2 linked regions of the Elephas maximus indicus genome follow. The protein of the gene in region 2 interacts with the protein of the main gene of each other region in a pairwise test. Links are inferred from orthologs where the notes say so. Each region holds a gene or a part of one and is shown on either strand. Other genes may lie near its edges.

Region 1 (3,915 bases), on a different chromosome or scaffold from region 2:
TTTGCATTCTCCTGGTGTCCACTGCCTCCCTTGTTTCTGGGAGACAGACTACTCCCTAGCTGGCAGCTGACCTGCCTGAGCCAGTGTGTCTGTCTGTGGTAACTGAGTGAACCTTAATAAAGGGGAACATTTGACCCTGTGTGTCTTGCTGTGTCATGTGTTTTCACCTGAGTCTGCATAGTAGCTGTGTGGAGCCTCACTATTGGGTGTGGGACATGGATGTATGGTGGGTCGGATGAGTCTCTGGCCTGTCATTCCCTGGGGCCAAAATCCATACTCCCTTGTGTGGTTCTTTCTCCAGGGGGGCTTTGAGTAGGCCTCGAAATTGCCACAAAGCCCCTCCTGCTGGTTTGGAGGAAGTTCTGTGTTCCCCAAGAGCCCTGAGGAGGAAGTAGAAGGAATAGGCTGGATTAGTGGGTTGGGGTACCGTGGTTCAGATGGTTCACTGTGGGCAAGGGCAGGGGTAGAGCACACGGCCCCACCTCAGCTCTTACCCTGGGAGACAGGTGGCTGGTTGAGCAGCCTCAGTAAACACAAGGGACCCTGGGAGCCTGTGAATGCTGGAGAATGAAGAAAGCAGGGGGAAGTGTTCCCAACATGCTTTCTCCTGTGTGTTCCCTTTGCCAGCGTTGTGCCCTCCACTTGGAATGCTGCCCTGGCCCCCTTTCTATGTACTGGCCATCCTTCAAGATTCACCTCAAGTGACTCCTCCTTTGAGAGGGCTTTTACCCTGAGTTGTTGCGTCTACAAGTTCCCTGCCTTCCCCACTCAGGGCCTTAACTGTAATTTTCTGTATCTTTGTTTGGATAGCTGGGACACGCCTGATTTATATGTGTCCCGTGCACCTAGAGCACGGAAGAGGCTTGGTAAATATTCAGTGTTAAATGACCCAGTGATGAGCAGTGTGTATGTGTGGGAGGGGTTCAGGTGGTTGGGAAGGCCAGACAATTAGGCCAGGCTCTGGTGGGAGCATCAGAAATGCCAAAACACAGGGAGACAAGTTTCACCTCAGGATTCCTTCATGTGGACTACAACTCCCAGGAAACAAATGGAAACAAGTGGACTACAACTCCCAGAAGGCAGCGCGACCACGCTAGGTGCTCTCGTGATGCTGCGCGCCAGCCAAAAGTACAAGGAGGGACTGCTAAAATATCGCGAGACTTGGGAGCTACCTCGAGACGAGCGTGGCGCGGGTGAGGCGCTTAAGGGGATTCCGAGGCTGGGATCTCGCTGCTGGGCTGGCGGGAGGGTGGAGCTCTGCTGGCGGCAGTGACTTTGCGGCGTGTGCGTGTGTGTGTGTGTGTCTCTGTGTGTCTCTCTGTGTTTGTGTTAGTGTGTGTGTGTGTGTGTGTGTGTGTGTATCTGTGCCCTCCCTTTCCAGCTTTGTGCTGCTCGGTGGTTATTTTTTAGTGGAGTTTATCGCCTTTAAAAAGTGGCCCTATTAATTCCTTTAAGTCCCTAGGTGGTGCAAACGGTTAACACTCTGGGCTGCTAACCTAAAGGTTGGATGTTCACGTCCACGCAGAGGTGCCTCGAAAGAAAAATCTTGCAGTCCACTTCTGTGAAATCAACCATTGAAAAATCTTTGAAACACAGTTCTACTCTGACACAGGTAGCTGGGTCATGAGTCAGTCAGAATTGGCGCCATAACACCTGGTTATCAATTTTCTCAGGCTTACAGTGTGTTTTTTTTCTTTTTAAATCATGAGCCTATTTCCAGAAAGGATTAGGGACTGACCTAGTACAAACTGTATTCTAAAAGTTAGTAAAAATATAAAAAAGAAAGCCATGAGAAGTTGGCATTATCCCCTAAACCAAAAAAACAAAAACCCAAACCTGTTGCCGTGGATTTGATTCTGACTCACAGTGACCCTATAGGACAGAGTAGAACTGCCCCCATAGGGTTTCCAAGGAGCTGCTAGATTTGAATTACCCCTCTTTTGATTAGCAGCTGTAGCTCCCCTAGCTTTCAACCACTGTGCCACCAGGGATCCCCTAGACCCACCTAAAAGTGATGAATGTCATTTAAGTTAAAGTGAGTCCAAATATTATTAGAAAAGACTTCCTGCTGTCCTTTGAAATATTCGGAGGCCTGTGTCCGATAATGGCCAGGAGAGATTCCCAAGTTGAGGAAGCGATGGGTGTCTTGTAAGTAGGGATTTTCCACATCTTTCTCAGTGGCTGGGAGGTGGCAGTACTCAGTTTCTACTATAGTATGTGCGTGTGTATATATATATATATATATATGTTGGGGTATATAGATACATAATGCTTAGACATATATAATGTATATATGTGCGCAGTATGTATGTGTATATGTATTACATATCTCTCTCTTGAGGAGGAGGTGGTTTACTCGTGATTCCAGGAGCAGCAGAGTCAAGCATGCCTGCTTCTGGTTTGAAAGCTCGTTCTTAGCAAAATTCCAGTACTTTGAGCTCTCCCTGAAGAGTTCCTTTGCCTTTTCTTGGATGGGGAGAAGGGGTTTAAAGTGCTCCTGTGGCCACAGGATTCCTTTTAAATGTCTTTGGTTTGAGGGGCAAGGTGTTGAGGAGTGGTGGGAAATGAGTCCAGAGCAGAAGCCAGCAGTTTGATGTTAGGCTAAAGGATTCAGGCTGTATCCTGCCAGAGATCTCTGCCATCTTTACCTTGGAGTCCCTGGGTGGGGGACTGTTACCACCTGCCCCCTCTCCACCTCCCTCCACGTTTGGTCCTGCTTTGTCCTAGGCCCCAGACCCTTGTGTTGGTCAGGGCTCACTATTTGTCTGGCGTTGCTTACCTTGCTCCCTTTATTAGCTTTGGCTCTGCCCTGACTCCATACTTGCTCATATTGTGATTGGTAGGTATCCCTGAAATCTTTACCTAAACTCTGTCTGTAATTAATTAATCCAGAGAAGGATTCTTACATATCATAAGCCTGCCACAAGGCAAAGCTCCTTACTCTCTCTGGCTCTGTCTCTCTAAAGAACAGAAACGCTTCCATCTTTCTGGCTGTGGCCTAGCTGCATGGCTGGTGCCCTGGGAGTTTGAGGTTCAATAAACAGCCTCCAGCCCTATAGCCCTCCTGCCTGCCTGCCAGCTCAGGAGTTCCTGTGAGGCCAGCAGAGCCCAGGGCAGTGAGATGCTGTCTGTAGCTGCTCTGGCTATGCACATAGATGACTCCAACAGAATCTAGATGGAGTAACAGATTTACTGGTTTGGGACTTGCTTCTCTTTGAGAGTAAACATAAAGGGCTCCTGCCAGCTCTCACCTTCCCTGGGACTGTCAGGCTAAACTGATTTGACCTTGCCTCTAAATGTTTAAATTACCCGATTTCTGTTTTTCGAGTATTATCCCCTCCCCCCCAACACCACCCCCACCCTGGCCTGGACTTTCTAGAAAGCTAGGTAGGCTTTGGTTCTCAGCAAAGCTTGCTCAGTAGGCAAAGTACATCTTGGACTTCACTATTTGCTGTGGGAGGCAGTTGAAGTCACCAATGTGGATTCCTGCCCCAAGTTCAACTGATTACTTTCAGTAACATGTTCCCTAGGAATGAGAATCAGCTTGATGTGGAGGAAGTCCAGGGGGCTGCAGAGTGAAATTCAGCTTCTGTGGTGTTGCAGGTGTTGCCTAGTATAGGACAGGGTCAGGGTTTGAGATCTGGCAGGTGGTTTCCCTGGAGAACCAAGAATGCGCCTTTGTCACATAATGTGGGTCGGCGTGCTGTTTAGTAGTTCTGGGAAGAAGCTGGCAGGTAGGTCCCTGGAATTTGCCATTTGCTAACGGCTCCGTAGGTCCTAAGGTAAAATCAGTTCTATAGCTCTGGACAAACGTGGCCCTAGCTGAGGCCCTGAAGCAGAGTAGAGATTGAGATCACTGGCAAGTGGAACTTTGCGGAGTCTTGCTCTAGGGAACCCACCTGTGCTTAACCCGTG
Region 2 (3,915 bases):
CCTCATAATTAGACTTAGATTATGCATTTTTTGACAAGAATACCACAGAAGTGATGTTATTTCCTTCTCAGTACATGGAATCAGGAGAGACATGAGGTCAGTTGGCCTCATCATCAGTGATGTTGACTGCGGTTACTTGGTTTAGTGGTATCCTTCAGGCTTCACCACTGGAAAGTTACCGTTTTGTGGGAAGAGACTTTAAGGTTCTGTAAAATTCTATTCCACATTAAACTTGAACCCATTAGCTTTGTTGTTGTGGGTGGTGGAGTAGATTCTGACTCTTAGTGACCCTGTAGACCTGCCCTATAGGGTTTCCTAGGCTATAATAAAAAAAAAAAAAAAAATTTTTTTAAATCTTTATAGGAGCAGATTGCCAGGTCTTTCTTCCCTGGAACAGCTGGTGGGTTCCAACTGCAGACCTTTTGATTAGCAGCTGAGCGTTTAACCATCACACCACCAGGGCTCTTTCTCATTAGCATTAGTACCCATTTATGGTTCTTGCCCGAGTCAGTCATTACAATGATGGTTGTAAAGTGATCATTGTTCTGTATCTATCATTCCTTCTCTGTGTATTTGTTGGCATTCTGCTGTGAGGAAGAGCTTCTCCATATCTGTTTGTTTGTTATCAGTGTGGACTCAGTGGATTCTTATTTTATATGGTAGATTAAATTTATTACTATCATTATATGTTTTGATCCTCACAGTGTCCCAGATTTGGCCAGTGGGTGAGGCACCCCGCCTTTTTGTGGCACCCCGGGCTGCCCTATCAGCCCCTTTGCTCTGTACTGTGTTGCCTGTTGCTTATCCTCTACTAGACCAGAAACTTTGAGAGAGTAATACATGGCACATAGGAGACCCTCAGTAATGTTGTTTTAACTAAAGTGAAATCTAACTGTAAAAGTTTCCTAGGACTCTACCTTTAGTACCACTAAAAATAATTATAATAATTCCATACTTATTATTATTTCCCTAATTATGAATGTAATGCATGGTTGATGCAGAACACCTGGAAACAGAGAAAGTACACAGGAAAAAACAGCAAAACAAAAAGCATTCTTTGTGTCACCTCTGGGCGATAATAATAATCCATTACTTTTTTATGGTGGTAAGTATATCTATATAACAAAACATTTGCCATTTCCACATTTTTAACTTGTGCAGTTCAATGACATTAATTATGTTCATCATGTTGACCAACCGTCACCAGTATCCACTTCCAGATTTTTCCATCACCTTTAACAGAAACTCAGTGTTCCCTAAGCAATGAGTCCATCTTTCCCCCTACCCCCAGCCCCTAGTAACCACTCATAAACTTTGGTCTATGTACATTTGCCTATTCTAAATATTTCATATAAGTGGGATCGTTCAATATTTGTCCTTCTGTGACTGACTTGATTACATTTTGATAGATATTCTTCCAATCTCGTTCCTTATGGTATTTTGTTTTGTTAAAAAAAAAAGTTATTGTAATGTGTCCACCCTTTTATAGCCCTTTTCCAGTTAGGTTACCATTTAAGAATGTTTTATCAGTAATTCCCAAACTTTGCTGTGTATTGGAATTTCCTGATTATCTTTAAAAAATACTAATGCCTGCTTCCCACTCCAAGGGTCATTCTCATTCTGGTGTGAGGTATGACCTGGGCATCAGGATCGTTTAAAGCTCCCAGGATGATTCTAGTGTGTAGCAAAGTTTGGTTCCCAGTTCGATGCTCTTCCTACCACTCCAGAAGGTTGGATTCCAAACCTCCCTGGGCTGGTGCAGTTAGGATGGAAAGCATAGCCCAGAACATTCCTTCTAAAGGGTGCATTCTCCCTGCCCCTCTCTCATGCCTTCAGGCCTCAGCTCAGTTAGGCCTACTCAAACTAGAGGGCCCCAGTGCCTGCTCCCTCTGCCACTATTCATAGCACTTACCACATTTTTTTTTAAGCTGAAAATTTTCTGGTATCAATCTTTATTATATAACCACAAATTATAGGTAGGGTTTTTTTTTTTTTTTTTTTGCACTTATCACATTTTATCTTTATTTGCTTGTTCACATTTTTGTGTGTGTGTAGGGGGGGTCCTGTCTTTTCCACTGAATTCCATATAACTTCCATTAGGGAAGAACAGTGTCTGTTATGGATTGAAGACCCATGTTCCAGACTCTCTGAGTCTTTTCTGATTGTTTTCCCAATTTTTACCACTTTCCCGGCCCCCTCTTTATCAAGGGCTCATTCATTCATTCGTTTATTCATTTATTCAACAAGTATTTATTTAGAACCTACCATGTCCCAGGTACTGTGCTCGGTCCTGGGGAGCAAAGCAACTGCTTACAGTCTGGTGGGAGAGACAATGAATAATCACACAGCATATAATTACAAACTATAGTAATGCTATGAAAGACAGGATAGGGGGACCCCACCTAATAGGGAGGAGCGGAGGCCAGAGACAGCTTCCCTGGAGTGAGGACACTGAGCTGAGCCTAGAAGGATGATTCAGAATTAACTATGCAAATAGGAGTGAGTCTGGTGTGTGTGTGTGTGTGGCGGTAGTAGAAAGAGCAGTCCAGGCATATGGAATAATCTGTGCAAAGGCCCTGAGGCAAGAAGGAGCATAGAACATTGGAGGAAACACAGTGAAAGCTAAAGGGGTGGTTAGGGGTTGGACCAGGTGTGGCACTGAAGATCACCTTAAAGATTTTGGTCTTTAAGAGCAACGCGAAGACCACTGATCCTTATGAGGAGTATATATTGGAGAGGGCAAAAGTGAAGGATGGCGACCACCCTGCTCTTTTCCCTTATTTACCAGACTGTACCCCTATTGCTCCCCTCCATCTGGGGTTCTTCCATTTCCACCCTCTGCTCCTAGAGACCCTTTAGCCTATTCTTCCTTTCCCCCCATCTTTGGGTCTCACCTTGGTGGTCCAGTCAGAGCTTCTACTCTTCTTCTCAGCGTGCCCCATTGCTCTGCCAGCCTCCCCTGTCCCTAGCCCCTCTGGCCTCTCTGCCTCCACATGGTGCACCAGCCTCTGTCCAGCCCCCTGGTTAGGTGGCCAGTTGTGGAGGATGCAAAGCCCACCCAGTTGTGGGTCTGTGAACTCTGACTCCTGGGTTCTTATCTTATCTGGCTCCTTCCTTCCTCATGGGAAAAGCAAATTTGGGGTTATGGGGCAGCAAGAGGACCAGGAGCACCTGCAGCCTGGACATAGATTCCACAGGTTCACACGAAAGTGGAGCTCACTAAAGGAAGCACACATAGCAGAGGTGGCATCCCACTTTATTGTAGGGACTTAGTTCACTGAGGGAGGCATGAGTTGTTGGGGGAAGGGTGTGAATGGTGAAAGGGAAGGAAAGTAAGCTCTGACGGTGGGAGGAGGGGGATAATAAGGAGTGCTGGGGAAAGGGGAGGCATTAAGGGCAAGAGGAGACTGAGGGAGGAAAGGGCTCTAATGGGGGGGGCAAGGAAGGGAAGGTGAAGGAACTGAAGGAGTTGAACACTCATGACTGAGGACTGGGAGGGGCAGCCTTTTTAGGAGTGGAGACAGGAGATAAAGTCAAAGCCCTAGGCTGGGGAACTGGACAGCACCCTGGGCTTCCTGGAGGAGCCCGCTGCTCAGTGTAGGCCTCTTCACTTTTGGGCACCCAGTGCCAGGGCGGTGATGAAGCCCACAACCAGCAGGAACATGGCGACTGAGAGCAGCACTGTGATGACCACCATGCCCCCTGTTCGGGCCATTCCCAACCCAGTGGACTCCATCTTCCTTCCTGTCAGAGAAAAAAGACAGGGGAAGCCTTAGTGGGCAGGGGTCCTGTCCTGCCCAAGACCCTCAGCCTAGCTCCCACATCCATCCAACCATCCATCCATCCAACTGACCAACCAACCAATGAACCAATGGATCCAAACAAGAATCAAATAAACATTTATGAAGCACCCCC

The links.
Region 1: the proteins of FOXR1 (region 2) and PPCDC interact in binary tests that used the Homo sapiens proteins (3 or more experiments, as listed by UniProt). The two-hybrid records come from large-scale screens. The link is inferred for Elephas maximus indicus from reciprocal best matches to the Homo sapiens genes FOXR1 and PPCDC.

The regions. Positions count from the first base shown.
Region 1 is NC_064831.1:65,073,332-65,077,246, forward strand, and holds the start of PPCDC (phosphopantothenoylcysteine decarboxylase), read left to right. Parts: upstream 1-1,161; 5' UTR 1,162-1,193; intron 1,194-3,915. UniProt on the Homo sapiens protein: Catalyzes the decarboxylation of the cysteine moiety of 4-phosphopantothenoylcysteine to form 4'-phosphopantotheine and this reaction forms part of the biosynthesis of coenzyme A.
Region 2 is NC_064835.1:11,420,777-11,424,691, reverse strand, and holds the start of FOXR1 (forkhead box protein R1), read right to left. Parts: upstream 2,943-3,915; coding exon 2,895-2,942; intron 2,318-2,894; exon of another isoform or gene 2,266-2,317; intron 1-2,265. Other genes in the region: UPK2 (uroplakin-2), read right to left, coding at 3,608-3,744. UniProt on the Homo sapiens protein: Transcription factor which acts as both an activator and a repressor.